Oreochromis niloticus: one gene and its partner. The protein of the gene in region 1 purifies or fractionates together with the protein of each later gene. This does not show direct contact. Links are inferred from orthologs where the notes say so. Each region holds a gene or a part of one and is shown on either strand. Other genes may lie near its edges.

Region 1 (7,681 bases):
AGCCGTCTTGTCTCAGGTAGCTGAAAGCCCCATCAACCACACTGGCAATGAACTGGCCACCAGTGATAAAGAGGGAATTGATGGTGACCAGCTGACCTCGCAGGTGAGGAGGGGAAACTTCTGCGATGTACACAGGAACAGTCATGGAAGCAATGCCTAAAGGCAAGGAGGGGAACAGTTTCATGCTAATGTACAACAGATGCATTCCCACAGACAATTCATATTACATCCTAGCTCTGTGTTTGAATACGGCAAATATTGAATAATGAAAGTCAAACAAAGGGCTCCTTATAAGAAGCAAAATCATAATGGTGACTTTACCTCGATACAAGCTGTAGTGTTAAATAAAACAACTCACCTATGCCCAAACCAACTGTAATTCTGCCAACAAGGAGGACCACCTTGTCTGGGGCAAGACTCAAGATGATGCCACCGACAGTGAAGATAAAGCTGGCCACAAGGATACAGATCCTGCGCCCCAGCCACCCGTTCAGGTAGCCTCCACTCAGGGCAGAAAGCGCTGCAGCTCCCACAGTACTGGAAACCAGCAGCTCCTGCCACAGAGCATTCAGGTTCATTTCCTTCTTTAGGAGAATCATGGCTCCAGAAACCACTCCAGTGTCATACCCAAAGAGGAATCCCCCCAAGGCAGAGAAAAATGCCAACAAATAGACAAAAAGCGGCTTGGGGGCATCCTGGTCTAGGAGATTCTCATCCACATGCCTAGATGGAGGTCCTATGAGACTCCGCTCTCCATCGTCCCCGGCTTTCTGTCTCCTGCTGGCCATAAGGTTGCTCATGTGCTCCAAGCTGTACTCATCATAGCTGCTGGACATAGGAGAAACCAGAGGTTAAGCTCACCAGGGGTTGCAGGTCACCACTTTATTAAATAAGCCAGGTGACATACTTCTGTGAGGAAGTGGCGGTGACGTGTACATGGATGCAGTCATTTCCCATTAATACAGATTACAAAAAATAATCATTTTGTTGTTGTTGTCGTTTTCCCCCCAACAAAAAAATAGCAATATTTTCAGTGCCACACTTTCCGTTAACCTCTAAGTTAAAGTCCAAACCTGGGGGTGTTTTTAGGTGTCCAGCTCGAGAAAGCAACACGTCGTGATTTTAGCAGCTATACTAGCTAACTTTGATGACGACAACATTTCGTGACAAACTCCTGTGGTTAACCGAGCGCCAGATTCTGCTTGTGTCGCAGATTTCGGAGTCGCGCCGTGGGAAAGCTGCCTAAACAGTGTAGGTTGATGACTTTAAACAGACTTTAGATGTTTTTGTTCACCACTGACAGCGCTACTGCTTTGCTCTGCGTGCAGCCATGTTTGTGCGTGAGGTCACGTGCCCACCCGGCTACAAAAACAATGTTGTTTCTTTTTTTCAAACTGAGTGTTTACAATGTCCCTACAGCACCGTGCCAAACTCCATCCAAAATGTCATTTTTAACGAATTTGTGCTCAGCGGAGACTGTTGTGCACGTAAAACCAGAGTTGACAGCACATGTATTGTCTACTCGAAAATTCGGCAGAGATGTGAGCGAACAATTTTCATTCAGATTACTTTTTTCCCCATGTATATATTTTTCATTCATCTATTTTTCATTACTTTCATGTGTATTTCCGAATGTAACTTCTACTTCATTTATTCGTATAATGCTAAAAGTACGGAATGGTAAGTGACCCTTATGCCCCTCGTCCCCATAAGTTATCTGTTTGCAGTAAAGTCAAATAAGTCGCATTATTGGACTTTAGCCTGTCAGGTCACCTTAACTATCTGTGAAAAAACTCTACCATACCTGTAAAAAAGCTGCTTTCCTCCAGCGCACAGTGCTGCTGTCGATATGCTCTTCAACAAACAGGAAGTCTGTTATGTGGATCATATGATATTATCCCTGAAAAAAAAAACGTAAACACGCCCATTTGAACTGTAAAATGTAGCCCAACTGGTTCTTTTTATGGTAGTCGTGATTAATGAGCCAAGACAGCAAGAATTTGCACTGGCCACAAAACATGGCAAAGATTTTAACTGTGAGCACTTTATTATGCGCTATTAGTAAGTTTGGGCAGATTTAGATGGATACGTTTCGCGGAGGTAAATATTAACTATTACTTTAGAGAACAAACAGACACTTGACAGATAAAGACACGTTTTCCACCGGGCTTTCCTACATATAAATTGTGCAAAAAGCAAAACCCATCCAAATCGTGGTCTAATGTATACTTTAAAACACACTAAGCAGTCTTGAGTCCTACAATAAAATTTCAGGACTACAATCTCTAAACAACAAGTGACCGAATACAAAAAATATAACATACATCAACAATAGCATAACATGAATGCCCAGTGGTCACGTGAATAACACTGATTATGTGTTAGTGGGTGGGATATATTTGTGAAGGCTAAACAACTGAGTCAGAGCATCTCCAATACTAAACTGTTTAGGAGCAGTGTTAAATCAGCAACAAGGTCATGAGCCCTCAAGGCTCACTGATAGCCTACACATGGGGAGCAAAGAATGGTCTGTGTGGTCCGATTCAACAATTCATGCATGTTCTGATAGAAAGGTGTGGGAATACAAATGTTTTTTGTTTTTTTTGTTTGTTTGTTTTCTTTTGGGGGGGGGGGCAAGTAAACCAGAGACAACTCTGGTGATATCAGTCGCACAATTACAGTTTGAATCTTGGGGGGGGGGGGCATAATTAAGGTGGAGGTAAAAGATTTCTGGGAAAAGTGAAGTCATGAGTACCGACGAAGGTGCCAACAATGGATGCATGAGGATTAGAAATAGATTTAGAAGTTTCTCTTCCTTCTTTCTTTATTTAAGTAGTCTTTCAGAATAGTTTTGAATGATAAAAAAAAAAAACTGCTGAAAAGTGAAGATATTTAGGCATATCACTGGTTCATCCCCTACACTAAAATTACAAGAAAAAGTACAGTCTAACTTTCAGTCTTCCTCCTGTGATCGATGACGTTTCTTTTATCTGCAGACATTTTTAAAAATGAGCCGTGGGGTTGTACCCAATGCTAAATACAGGAAAAATAAGATATGACCACGATGTCAAGCTGATATTCTGTGCTCACCGACTCTCATCCAATCCTCAAATCAGATGGTGCTCTCCTTGCCAGGGAACAGCTGGACCTGAACCACAGCTTCCAGGGATACTGGACGTACCTAGACTATAACATAGTTTGTACTTGTGTTATATAACTTAAACAACATAGTTTTGTCAATGATTTCTTGTTTTAGCCTCACACTCATTTACTTTCCTCTCTGTGGGAGAAAAAGGTCCACCCTTCACACAAGTGTCCAGAACATAGGGCCACAGGTCTGATGATACAATTACAAAATTGATCATCAACCTGCAGCCTAGGGTCTCTTATTGCCATGTGCAATTATAGACACCCTTATGTTTGAACATGGTCTTTGTTATCGACAATTTCTGGTTTGCACAGAAGTCTAGTAATAGAACATCACTCTGGTTCACATCTGGCAGGCCGTTCCTCCCAATCACGCGCCTCCGGGTCTCACTGTTGTTGCCCACATGAGCGTTGAAGTCTCCCAGTAAGACGACAGAGTCCCCAGGTGGAGCACCCCCAGGCACACCACCTAGGGACTCCAAGAAGGCCGGGTACTCTGAACCTTCGTTTGGTGCACGGGCGCAGACGACAGCCAGGACCCATTCTCCAACTCAAAGGTCCAGGGAACAAACCCTCTCATCCACCAGGAAAAACTCCAACTTATAGGCAGCAAGCCAAGCGGATGCTAACATATTCTGACCAAATTGTTTCCAATTTTCCACATTAGGTACAAAGCAACACTGAAAAAGCTTTTACTTTGGAAGCCAAATCATATTGCAAAAAAACAGCAATACAGTGTAACTCTAACAAGTGGGGATGGGTGCATTGATGCAAATATTGAAAGTACTGATCCCAGCATTGATATTGCTCCTGCTTCATGAAAAAGTATTAACGTCTGTGCAAACACCGGTCCTTTCAGGCAGCCACACTTTGCTCCACCCTCACCTCCTCCCTGTGGTTTGTTGCTGTGGAGTCACATGACTTAGGTGCACCTGGTGTCGAGATATTTATAGCTGTAAATGAAAACACTGCAAACAGCGATGCATGTAGGAATTTCTCCACTATGACTTTATTGTGTCACAACTAGACAACAGTGGCAGTACAGATTAAAAGTATACAGTTTTACTGTTGTTTACATTCAGTGATGCCACCTAGTTATGTTAATTCTATGTGGAGCTGCTGGTGTGGTGGGATTTTTGAGTTGAGGGGGCATTCCACAAAATATTTCTCACCGGGAATTCGGAACTTCCGACTTATTCAGGAACACAGCATTAAAAAAAACAAAGTATCGATCATATTACCTATTATCGATTCAATACCAATACAAGCTTTGGTATCGATCCGCTCACCCCTACTATACAGGGGTGATTACTTTGGGAGGACACCTAATTTAGAGACTAACTGAAATAATTAAAAAATATTTTAGAGTTTGCTTTAGTGTGGGAATTTTCCTCCATCATACACAGCAAATGTCAGTGCCAGGTCAAGCTGCATTGTTGTAAATCTGTAAATCAGCAACTGGCATTAGACGCAGAGTGGGAGGGCTCACTGAAGCCACTCGTTAGCCTGTAAAAGTGTAGCCTGAAGTAAAAAACAAAAAAACAAACAACAAAAAAACCGTTGGGGGGTAACGTAATAGCCGCTTGACTTGGCTCTCTGTCTGACTTGCTTCCCCTGCCAGAGAGAAAGTCGGATTCTCTCTGACTCTATTTTCAGCTTCCTCTTCTGTAAGCGGGGAGTTTTTACTGCCTGCAGTCATATGATGCGATCGTAGGAAAGCAGGAACACGCCTTTCAGAGAGGACTCGCTTCGTTTTCACATCCAAGCAACATAAAATCACCGACTCCGCAAAGAGGAACTTATTCTCTGCCACAGGAAAGTTAGCCGAGGACTGTGATGTCGGAACCGAAACTCCGCGACACTGACCGCTTCCCTTGTAGCGACAGCCACTTATAGCTGTCTGTAGCTACTGTATTATTATGCAACACAGCAATTCAGTAATGTTTTGTAAAGACATGAGTAACTACAGTGGATTTTCAGTGAGTTATTTATACGCTAATGCTGCGCTCAGTGTGGCCGCTCGAAGGCCGTTGTCGGTTCTGAGAGAGCGCAGTGATTGACCTCAATGCACGTCAAGTCGTCAGCTGGAACACCGCACTTTAAAGACCATGGTTAACAAAGAGGAGCTGGAAGAAAGGCTGAAAAAACTTTTGGTGAGGCTGAAAACTCCCCAGGAAGACAGGCAACTGTGCACGCTGATTCAAATCATCCAGGATCTGCTTTTCCTGGCGCACACCGACTATGGTAGGAAGCACATTGTTTCAGCGTGTGCATCATCACGCTGCTCATAAACAGCCATCATTTCCTTTTGGCATTTTTTCATTGCCTTATGAGAATTAGGTCAGATTAAAGTTTTTTTATTCAATCAAGTAGTATTTGCCCAGTGTGAAATGTGATATGACACTCACTACTTTTGCATGATCGTTTTTATGGTTTTATTTATTTCAGCCCACAATGTAATTCACTCTTCTTGGTTTTTGTTTGTTTGTTTGTTTTTTAACTCTGATCCTTTTGTGCATTTTTTCCCTTCCATCCTTCCATCTTCTAGTCTATTGATGCTGTATTTATTTGTTCATATGGTCTACTTTAAGGTTTGTTATACAGCAGGTTAATGATTTAGCTGTTTTGAGTAATTTCCCAGTTTTGGCGATAAATAAAGCATATCTTATCTTAAATACAAAACATAATGTCTTTGGGGTCATACTAAGGCCATTATAGTTTACTTAAAACTAGGTGTGAAAACACATTCAAGTTACCTGAAATCAAATTTAAAATGGGATTGACTTAGATTTGTAGATTTTAAGCACAGACTTGTACCTGCACAATGAAGCCCTGCTGTAATGCTGCCTTGTTATGCACATTTAAAAATAGGAATGAGGGTAAAAGACCCAGTCACTCTATTCAAAACTAATGGGACTCATCGTGTCTTCTTATCTCTTGTTCCATGTTGTAGCAGCTGAACTGTTTGAAGACAAAGATGTCCACGTGCCCCTCGTGCTGGTTCTGTCTACCCACATCAGCAGCAGAGGAGTCCAGCAGGTAATGAATGACACAACAAGAATTAGCCATTATTATGGCAGGTGGTGCTATCTGGGTGAGGTGAGGTGTGTTCAGCAGCATCACTCGCTAAAACAGCCTCAGCTCTTTGTTGTTGACAAATCATCTGTGGACTGACGCACCTATACATCTAGCATGTCTTGTGACTGACGTGTAATGCTAATTATCAGAGGTAAGACTGCATATTGAAGCAAACTGAAAGTGAGATTGTAAGATTCATATATGGCAGCAGGTTGTGGCGCTCTTTCTCAGTACTGTAATGTGTATGCTTGAGATCAGAATCATTACTTTTCATTGGTTTATTATAATGACTCATTCCCGTCATTTTAATAAATTGTTTGTTCTTCCTTTTTACAGGTTGGCTGGTCATTGCTGTGTCAGCTGATTGAAATATGCCCCACTACACTGGACCAGTTAACCAGACCTTTGGATGAAGCCCAAGAGTGGGAGGTAGAGGGAGTGCACCAGTAAGTGAAGACTCTCTGGCAGCTGTGGGCTTGATGCAGCACCACTCATTTAAATGAATGACTATCATGATGGCTCATGCCACACGAAGGTACATGAAGTATGTAGCCGTGGTCAAGACAACCTGCTCAAGTTCAAATCAAGCATTAAAATTGGAAGGAAAGGTGATTGGAGTGACTTTGAATGTTGCATGTTGTTGCTGTTGGTTCCAGATGGGCTGGGCTGAGTAATTCATAAACTGCTGGGTTTTTCCCACAGAACAATCTCTAGGGTTTACAGGGAGTGGTTCAAAGAAAAAATGTCCAGTGAACGGCAGTTCTCTGGGCAAAAACCCCTTGTTTATACCAAAGGTCAGATGACAGTAGTCAGACTTTATAGTAAGGCAAACAGTAACTCCAAAAACAACTTGGCACTATCAAGTTATGCAGTAGAGCATCTCTGAATGTTCTTCTGAGATGCACAGCAGAGATGCACAACATGTTGAACGCTGAAACAGCTACAGGGGCAGCAGACTGCACTGGGTGTCACTCCTGTCAACCAAGAACAGGAAACTAATGCTACAGTTAAAACAATCTTGTCAAAATTGGACGACAGAAAACTGGAAAAACGTTACCTGCTGTGATGTGGCTTGATTTCTGCTGCGACGTTCAAATGTGAGGGTCAGAGTTTGGGATAAACTGCATGAATGCATGGATCCATCCTGCCTTGTAGCAACTGTTCAGGCTGGTAGTGGCGAAATGGTTGTAATGCCACAGCGTAACCGAGTATGGTTGCTGATCATGTTCATCCTTTTATGACCAGTGTGCCCATCATCTTTAACACAACTGTGCACCATGTATAAGCTCAAATCATCCCAATCTGGTTTCTTGAACACAACAATGCCTATGCTGAACTTTAAATGACCTCCACAGTCACCAGTTCTCAGCCTGGTAGGACTCCTCTGGGATGTGGTGGAATAGGAGATTCGAGTCATGGTAAATCTCAAGGCAAAAAGGGGACTAACGGCCTGTGA
Region 2 (7,430 bases), on another chromosome or scaffold:
GCATGCTTGCCGGTCCTCCTGCACGGCTTTGCGCATTATGTCACCGCAGAAAATCCCGTCCCGCCGCCTGCGTGCGAACGCATCTACCTCTGAGAGCCCATGTATGTTGCCGGAGCTGCGCTACAAGAAGCACAGATACCACACCTCCAGATCTCGACAAAACGGCTCAAAGCATCTCCAGATACTGTCAGCTGCATCCTTTCTCTCTCGTGCACACACGCACACATACACACACAGATAGATACATACACACACACAGCAGCAGCATTCCTCTCACCTTTTCAAAACCCCGAACACATTCGCGCACATTTTCACGGATGTCTGTTTCCATCAGCCAAATGCTGGGCGGCTCGTGCAGGAAAGAGGCATCCAAAGGGATAAAGCCGAAATCCGGAAGATCTCGATTCTCCTGCGGTCAGCTTCAGTATCCAGCGACTGACTGTGACTGACTGACTGCGGTCGGGCTGCTGTCGCCCCTCCCACAGCCTCTACCACCAGATTTCTTCCTCCGCTGCCCTTTAAAACAACTTAATTTAAAAATAAATATGCTACCAAGGACTCATGAAACGCTTAAATGGAAACAGCCATTACAAAAACCGGTTTACAGCAGACACTCCTCTGTGAATACCATTGTTAGTGTGTTAAGCTAGCTACTGATGATCACCTGACACAGCCACACCTCAGCCAAATAACTCTGGCTTTTCAGTGTGAATACATCAACACCGCCACCTCTCTTTAACAGTTTCGCTCTTACCTGCATAGCCAGCGTACAGCCATCGGAACTGTTGCGGAAAAGTGCGCACCTCCTGTGACTAAAGCTAAACATTAGCCTACCTAGCTACCTTCGAGTACTTACTTTACAGTTCGTGAGGATATGAACTAACACGGAGTTTGTGTTTCCTTGCTAATATTAAAGAGACGCCATTACATCAGTGTTTTATTGATGTTAACAAATAAGAAATACAAGTCGATGTTTAGTTATCGCACGACACGTATATACAAATGTAAAATAAATCGCATAATCGTGTTAATATTCGGATGAACAGCTTTATTATTTTTAACCTTGTGCAAATTTTGGTCGGCCAACAATAGGCGCGCTTCATTTGGTCGTGACTCCGTGTCGTTTACCGGTGCTAAGATAAACCCTGGCTTTGCTACTGTTTAACTTTTACTTTAGTCTATTTAACTTAGTTAACAAAAAAGATTGACGAGCATTATTTATTATGTAGTAAAAAAAAATCTAACAATCTAGCATCTCCAACAATTCAATAACCGAACGGAATAGGCATTCAGATACTTTGTGAGAGCAAAAGTACTAATACCGAAACCTATACAGATAATCCATGTGGTGTTCAAGTTTAATTAGACAATAATGATATTTATCAAGCTACGTTTAGCCCTGCTCAACTTCGTCTGCTCCAAGCAGGACCCAGGCAAACCTCCTCCTCCTCCTCAGCCTGTTATCCTCAGCTCAGCTCCCCTCTACACCTGACTCTGCTGTAAAAATGCAACATTTACCACTGAAATATAATTATTAGAAGAAATATAGTCTATAAATACAGTATTAGAAATATAGCATTAGAAGTAGTAAACAACAAAATAATAATAATAACAATAACAATAATAATAACAATAAAAATACATAGGAAGGGCTGCAGCTAAGGAAAAATAAATAGAGTGGGGATTTTGGCTCCATGGTGACTGGATTTATATATTCCTAACATCTAATTTGGTTGACATCTGTTTGTTTTTTTTCTTTTAATCCTACAGCCAGTTTTTTTCATTTCGTTTATTTTTTAATGAGGAAACAAATGTGACTTAAGCTTAAATAAATAAACAAATAGACAACATAGACATATATTTATTCCCCACATTTGTGTTTATGCTCTTTCTGTAGTCTTACATTTAAAGAATATCCTTAACTGACAAGAAACCTTTCGACCCTTCATTGCGAAATGTTTTCTGTTGTCGTTTTTAAGTGAATCCGGGATTTACCGGTGAGATTGCCGAGCGCATCCATGCGCCTTGTTGGGCTCACGTGACCAAATGGCAGCCAGCGCACACAGAAGGGCACGAGCTTAGTGAAAGTTTGGTTGTGTCCTCGAGCTCAGTCCTGTGCTGTTTAATGGTTTTTAGCGTGATTTGTTTTATTTAAGTCGCCGTTTTTAGTCGGTTACTAAAAATGGCCGCCAGGACAGCTGCAGCTGCGAGACGGTCGATATGGAGGAGCTTCTGTCCTTTCAGTCTCCGCTTATCTGCAGGTAGCAGTCGGCTGTGCAGCTCCAAACAGGCAACCCAGAAGGACAAGCCAGTAAAGGTTTGTATAATGACAATTTATTACATTTATACACGGTTTAAAGGGCTGCCATTTGATAGCTATAGACGGCTGTTGTTGTTGTTGACGATCACGTGTGGCGCCATTTTTTTATGCCCACATTAAAGACGTGTGTACGAAATAAGCTGATTTTTTTTTTTAAACGTTGCAGGAAATAAAGTGTTGTTCACAAAAATATATTGCAGTGCTTTAGACATTATTAGGGTTAAATCGGTGTTACGTCTGTTTTAATGATACAGTTGTAGTATAAATATTTGTAGGAAAATAATGGAGAACAATTTAAAATATTATGGTTTAAAGTTATATTTTAAGACCTAAAGTTTCCAGCAATACATCTTCTTAGATTTCATTTTTTAACCGTTTCAAAATTACATGCATTTGTTGGAGTTTGTGACTGCAGACGTTTAATAATAACTGTTTAATAATATAGTATTTCTTTAAAAATGTAAATACATCTACTTTACATATAAACGTGCATTGATATGCCTGTCAGTAATCAGACTGAATTTGCTGACACAATGTTTTGCATTTGGATTGTTTTACCTCTGTTTTCGTCTCTTAGCCCTGGAGCGTTTTTTATTCCTCGCTGCTCTTTCCGTCTTGAAGTCTGCTGGGTAATGATAAGCTGTCTGGTGTAGGTCACTTTTCATTTAAAGCCACGTGATGTGCATCTGCTGTGTGGAGTTTCAGTCTTTAGCAGACTGTCTTTAAACTTGACTTCCAGATGATAGCTGCCCGGTGCATTTCTCATCAGTGCGGATGTGGCTGCGTTGGTGATGCTAACTTTGCATGTGGAATTCAAACTACATGGTATTTGTGTCTGATGAGCTCATCGCTGTCATATGGGGTTTGCATAGGTGAAATTTGGGACATCTTCAGCCTTCTGACTGTTGTCACCTGCAATTCCACGCTCAACTTTTGTGTTAACACCCTGTATCTTTCCCACTAAGTTATTTTTGTGCGGACACTGTGCTGTCTGAACCCATCATTACAGTAGTTTCTTCTTCTTCTTTTACATAGAGATCTACATATAGACCAGAACCCAGCTCCACACATGACTGGGTCGGTCCACCAAACCCGCTCTCCAACCTACGGCCAATTATTTACCACATCCCGGACAATGAAACAGAGCTGGAGAAACGACTGAGAAACCTGAGGCAGGAGACAGAGGACTGGAACCACAACTTCTGGGCCAAGCAGAACATCACCTTCAGCAAGGTTACTGAAATACTTTTTACAAAGTGTTTTTCTGGGGTCAGGGACTGGCCTCTGAAAGCTAGTTTATCTATCAGAAGTCTCATTTGTAGGTGGGGTGAAAAGCCAGTCCATGTGGAGAGTAAGGTGGGTATTGTCTAAAAATAGGGAGCACAGTGTAGAGAGAGAGAGAAGCATGCATAGTGCTGCTTTTAACTCTTGAGATGGAAACTGACAAAGATACAGTGGGGAAATTAATTCGATCCCCTGCTTTATTTATACGTTTTCTCACGTTTTATGGTAGCTTCATTTTATGGAGACAGAATATCCCCAAATCCCAAAAACAAAACACTCAAGCTTTACCCTTGAGTTGCCAAGCTGCAGTTTCTGTAAAGAGGAGTGAGTCGACATCCCTCCTGAGATGTCGATATTTTCATAGAAAAATAGAAAGTTGTGGTAAAATTGGTTCTTTTAAGTCATCTGAGCACCTGACATGCAGTTTGGAAGAGAATAAAACTCATTTAAGGCTAGTTAGATCATCAGTTAAGACTTTGCTGGCTGTTCTGCCCTTCTGAAAATAAGCTGAAAGGTGGTGGGTGGTGTAAAGCAGGCATAGAAGCGGTTGTTGGTTCATTGTGGGGCAGGTGATTTCAGAGTATGAATAAGAGTGGGAAGTTGATGTGCTCCAAGAAAACCTTTAGCTACAGAGGAAGTGGAGTCTTTAGTCTTTGTAGAGAAACTGAAGGTTACTCCTAAATTAAATTCCTAAATTGCACATGAGGGATGAAGTGAAAGTGTGCATCCAGAAGAATTTGTTTGTGATGTTGTCCTGAGAATATCAAGATGATGTCTTCCAATTTATTACAGTTTAATATTTATTTATGATGATTCACATTGTCCTGCTACTGCTGCTATTTATTTCATATGCAGGTATGCCGTACTGCCGCTTAAAATCCAATTAAGCAAACTGATATTAGAAGAAAATTCATCTGTAGCTGTTACAAAACAAAACCGGGTGAGCGATCCCTGTCGGCTTGTTAGTTCACTTTTCTTAAAAATAAAATGGAAATTAAATTAAACACAAGATAAAGTCCACTAACTGCATTATCTTCCCTGCCAGCTTCCTACTTGCATTAGCATCATGCTGTCATTTCCATCATTATTAATGGAGACTGTAATAGCAGTGGATGTAATTAATCTCTGCGTGCTGAGCTCGTACGTGTGTAAAATCATTTCACCAGTAGAGGGGAGCATTGTACAACTAATGTGTTCTGTTAGGGCCCAGCTATGTAAGAGATTACAGTGAGGAAACAGTGAGGAAAACTGTAGGTTTTATGTGGACCCCAGTCCAAATCTGATTTAACGACCCTTTAATTAATTTTAAGAATGACCTCATTTAAAATTACAGTTAAAGCTTAAAAGGTTTGTTTGTTGTTTGTTTTTTTTACACTGTCTGCAGGAAAAAGAAGCTTTTATCATTTCACAACTGAAGGCAAAAGGCTTGACTCTGCGTGATGAGGACGGTGAGGACATGCAGCCTTTTCTGAATATTTCACATTGTTGGTTGGGTTTGCACTTAGGCAGTTTTTAACCAGCTCAGATGGGTGTACTATGAAGCAAGATTACTGGGTGAGTGATGTAAGTCGACCTTGATGTAAGTGAAGGTGGCTCCTTTATACCTGGCTAGATCACCATGGTAACTTATGCTGAACACATAACCTGGTTTGTACCAGTTTATTTTTAGAGTTTCGATTTAAAGTTTTCACAAATTCTTTTAGTTACAGTGTCTTGTAAACACAATATTGATTCTCTGCTGGATGAATACATATATTTGCAGTCTGTAGAGCTTAAGACTGCAGTTTATCATTAGATTTATTTGATTTTTATCACCAAGAAAACTTATTTGGACAATAAATGATTTTCACTCTGATCTTGTGAGAAACGAAAGTAATTCCCACGTCTCCTTTGTTAGGCTGTGTAGGCTGTGGGTGACTTGTCAGAGCTGAACACAGCGAGAGCACCGATGTGTGGCTCTGACATCAGAGATAAACATTGAAGCTAAGCTCTCAGCTCTTGTGATGATCAAATCACTAAATTAACAATTTTCTGCAGCATTACTCGTACTTTCAGCACCAGGGTTGCATTTTACTGCATTTATTTAACATTCTTAATAGATCTCTATCCCCCATTCATGTGATAATGTCTCTGATTGGGGTAGGTGGTGCTCAGCTGATCCATTCTGTGCTGTCTGAAGTGTCAAAAAACACATCAAACAGCCCTTTTTATGTGAGCACAGAAAGCCGGGGTTACCAGAGAGAGTTAATAACCACTGTTGTGATGCCTGCTATCTCTGACTGAGGTTTTTTGGTCAAGTCAGCCAACACAAAGAAACCCTGGCTTTGTCGAACTTGCTTCGTAGCCTGCTCCTCAGGAGGCACAGTAAACAGCAGTTTGTTTTTCTAACAGCTGGTGAATTGCAGGGGAGATGTATCCTAATGAGAATATAACACAGTCTGCTGTGTCTTCCCTCAGGACGACGGCGGTCCCTGAGCAGCGAAGAGATGGCCACGTTTTACAAAAACTTCCTGGACAAAAACAGAGTACGACATGCAAATTACAACAAGTGAGTTGTTTTGTCTCCCATGATGCCGCTGGGTGGGTAAGTGAGTGGGTGGGTGGGTGGGTGGTTGGGTTGGTACATGTCCCTCTGCAGCAGCTGTGAGCTTTAACTGCACTGTATCACCTCATCTGCAAAGAACAACAAACCTCACAGGCTATGAAGAAGTTTTGTGTGAATTAGCAATGCAAAGTGGCTGACTTGTCTTCATGTTGGCAAAGCTTTCCGCCCACACACATCACCTCAGTAGCATGCGTGGGATTTAATCTCTAACTTTTGATTGTTATATTTATTATTGTTTCAATTTAAACTCCGTCAAAGCACAAATGTTTCCCTTTTCTCCCTTCTGGTGTTATTGTGCATTTCCCTGTTTGAATCTTTATATCAGCACATTTATTACACTGTGCAAAGTGAAACATTCTGTTTTTTGTGTATCCAGGGAATGGTACAGACGTAACTTTACCATCACCTTGCTCATGGCTCGAGTCACCCTAAACAGTATGTGGAGGACAGTTACGGAAAGACAGAGCAGCAAGAAAAACGGCACTCCTACCAGCTGATAGCAAAGAAAATACACACACCCCCACCCTCCTGTCAAAATATCAAATGCCTTGGCTATATTTTTGTGCACTTCTGTTACTGCTTCATGTTTATTCAGGCTCTGCAAATGACTGTAAATTATTCTGGAAAAAATAAAACAAAGCAAAACATGTGAGGTATTTCTTTTTAATTAATTAATTAATAGTTTTCATCTTTTTTTAATAGTTAAAAGTGTGGATTGTTATGTCACGGTCTCTTTGGTCAAGAGGGTTTTTGGTTTTTTCTTGGGGCGGGGATTATAGATACATTATAAAGCAGATTTAACTGTTACGCCCAGTTTGTGTCAAAACAAAGACAACCTGTGATAACCAGTGAGATCGGTGCTGACCACCTACAATAAATACAAGAAATTAAAGTTTAAGAACTTTGTCAAAAACATATTAAAACTAATTATTTCATTTTTTAAATCAAGCAAAGAACAAACTGAAATCATGTTTAACTGGGGATTCTAAAAGGCCCATAGGCGTGAATGTGAGTGTAAATGGTTATCTGTCTCTGTATAAGACCTGGGACAGACAAGCTACCCATCCAGGATGTACCCCGCCTTTCGCCCTATGATAGCTGGGAAAGGCTCCAGCCTCCTGCAACCCCTAAACAGAAGATGGATGGATAGTTATTTTCCAGATTAATCATTTGGTGTAAATATTTTTTGAGAGCTGGAATGTAAATTTGTCTGTCTCTAAA

The links. Proteins that work in one complex are often made in the same cells at the same time.
Region 2: the proteins of lrrk2 (region 1) and bag5 purify together in Homo sapiens (co-immunoprecipitation; 3 studies listed by BioGRID and IntAct, with this or other methods). This does not show direct contact. The link is inferred for Oreochromis niloticus from reciprocal best matches to the Homo sapiens genes LRRK2 and BAG5.

What each region holds. Positions count from the first base shown.
Region 1 is NC_031972.2:42,293,240-42,300,920, reverse strand, and holds the start of lrrk2 (leucine-rich repeat serine/threonine-protein kinase 2), read left to right. Parts: upstream 1-4,678; 5' UTR 4,679-5,255; coding exon 5,256-5,391; intron 5,392-6,100; coding exon 6,101-6,186; intron 6,187-6,561; coding exon 6,562-6,671; intron 6,672-7,681. Other genes in the region: proton myo-inositol cotransporter, read right to left, coding at 1-156, 359-828, 908-957. UniProt on the Homo sapiens protein: Serine/threonine-protein kinase which phosphorylates a broad range of proteins involved in multiple processes such as neuronal plasticity, innate immunity, autophagy, and vesicle trafficking.
Region 2 is NC_031983.2:6,396,792-6,404,221, reverse strand, and holds the start of bag5 (BAG family molecular chaperone regulator 5), read right to left. Parts: upstream 3,001-7,430; 5' UTR 2,986-3,000; coding exon 2,879-2,985; intron 2,318-2,878; coding exon of another isoform or gene 2,183-2,317; exon of another isoform or gene 1,979-2,182; intron 1,529-1,978; exon of another isoform or gene 778-1,528; coding exon of another isoform or gene 755-777; intron 528-754; exon of another isoform or gene 310-527; coding exon of another isoform or gene 278-309; intron 1-277. Other genes in the region: coa8 (cytochrome c oxidase assembly factor 8), read left to right, coding at 2,183-2,317, 3,356-3,553, 4,989-5,052, 6,062-6,152, 6,586-6,706. UniProt on the Homo sapiens protein: Co-chaperone for HSP/HSP70 proteins. It functions as a nucleotide-exchange factor promoting the release of ADP from HSP70, thereby activating HSP70-mediated protein refolding.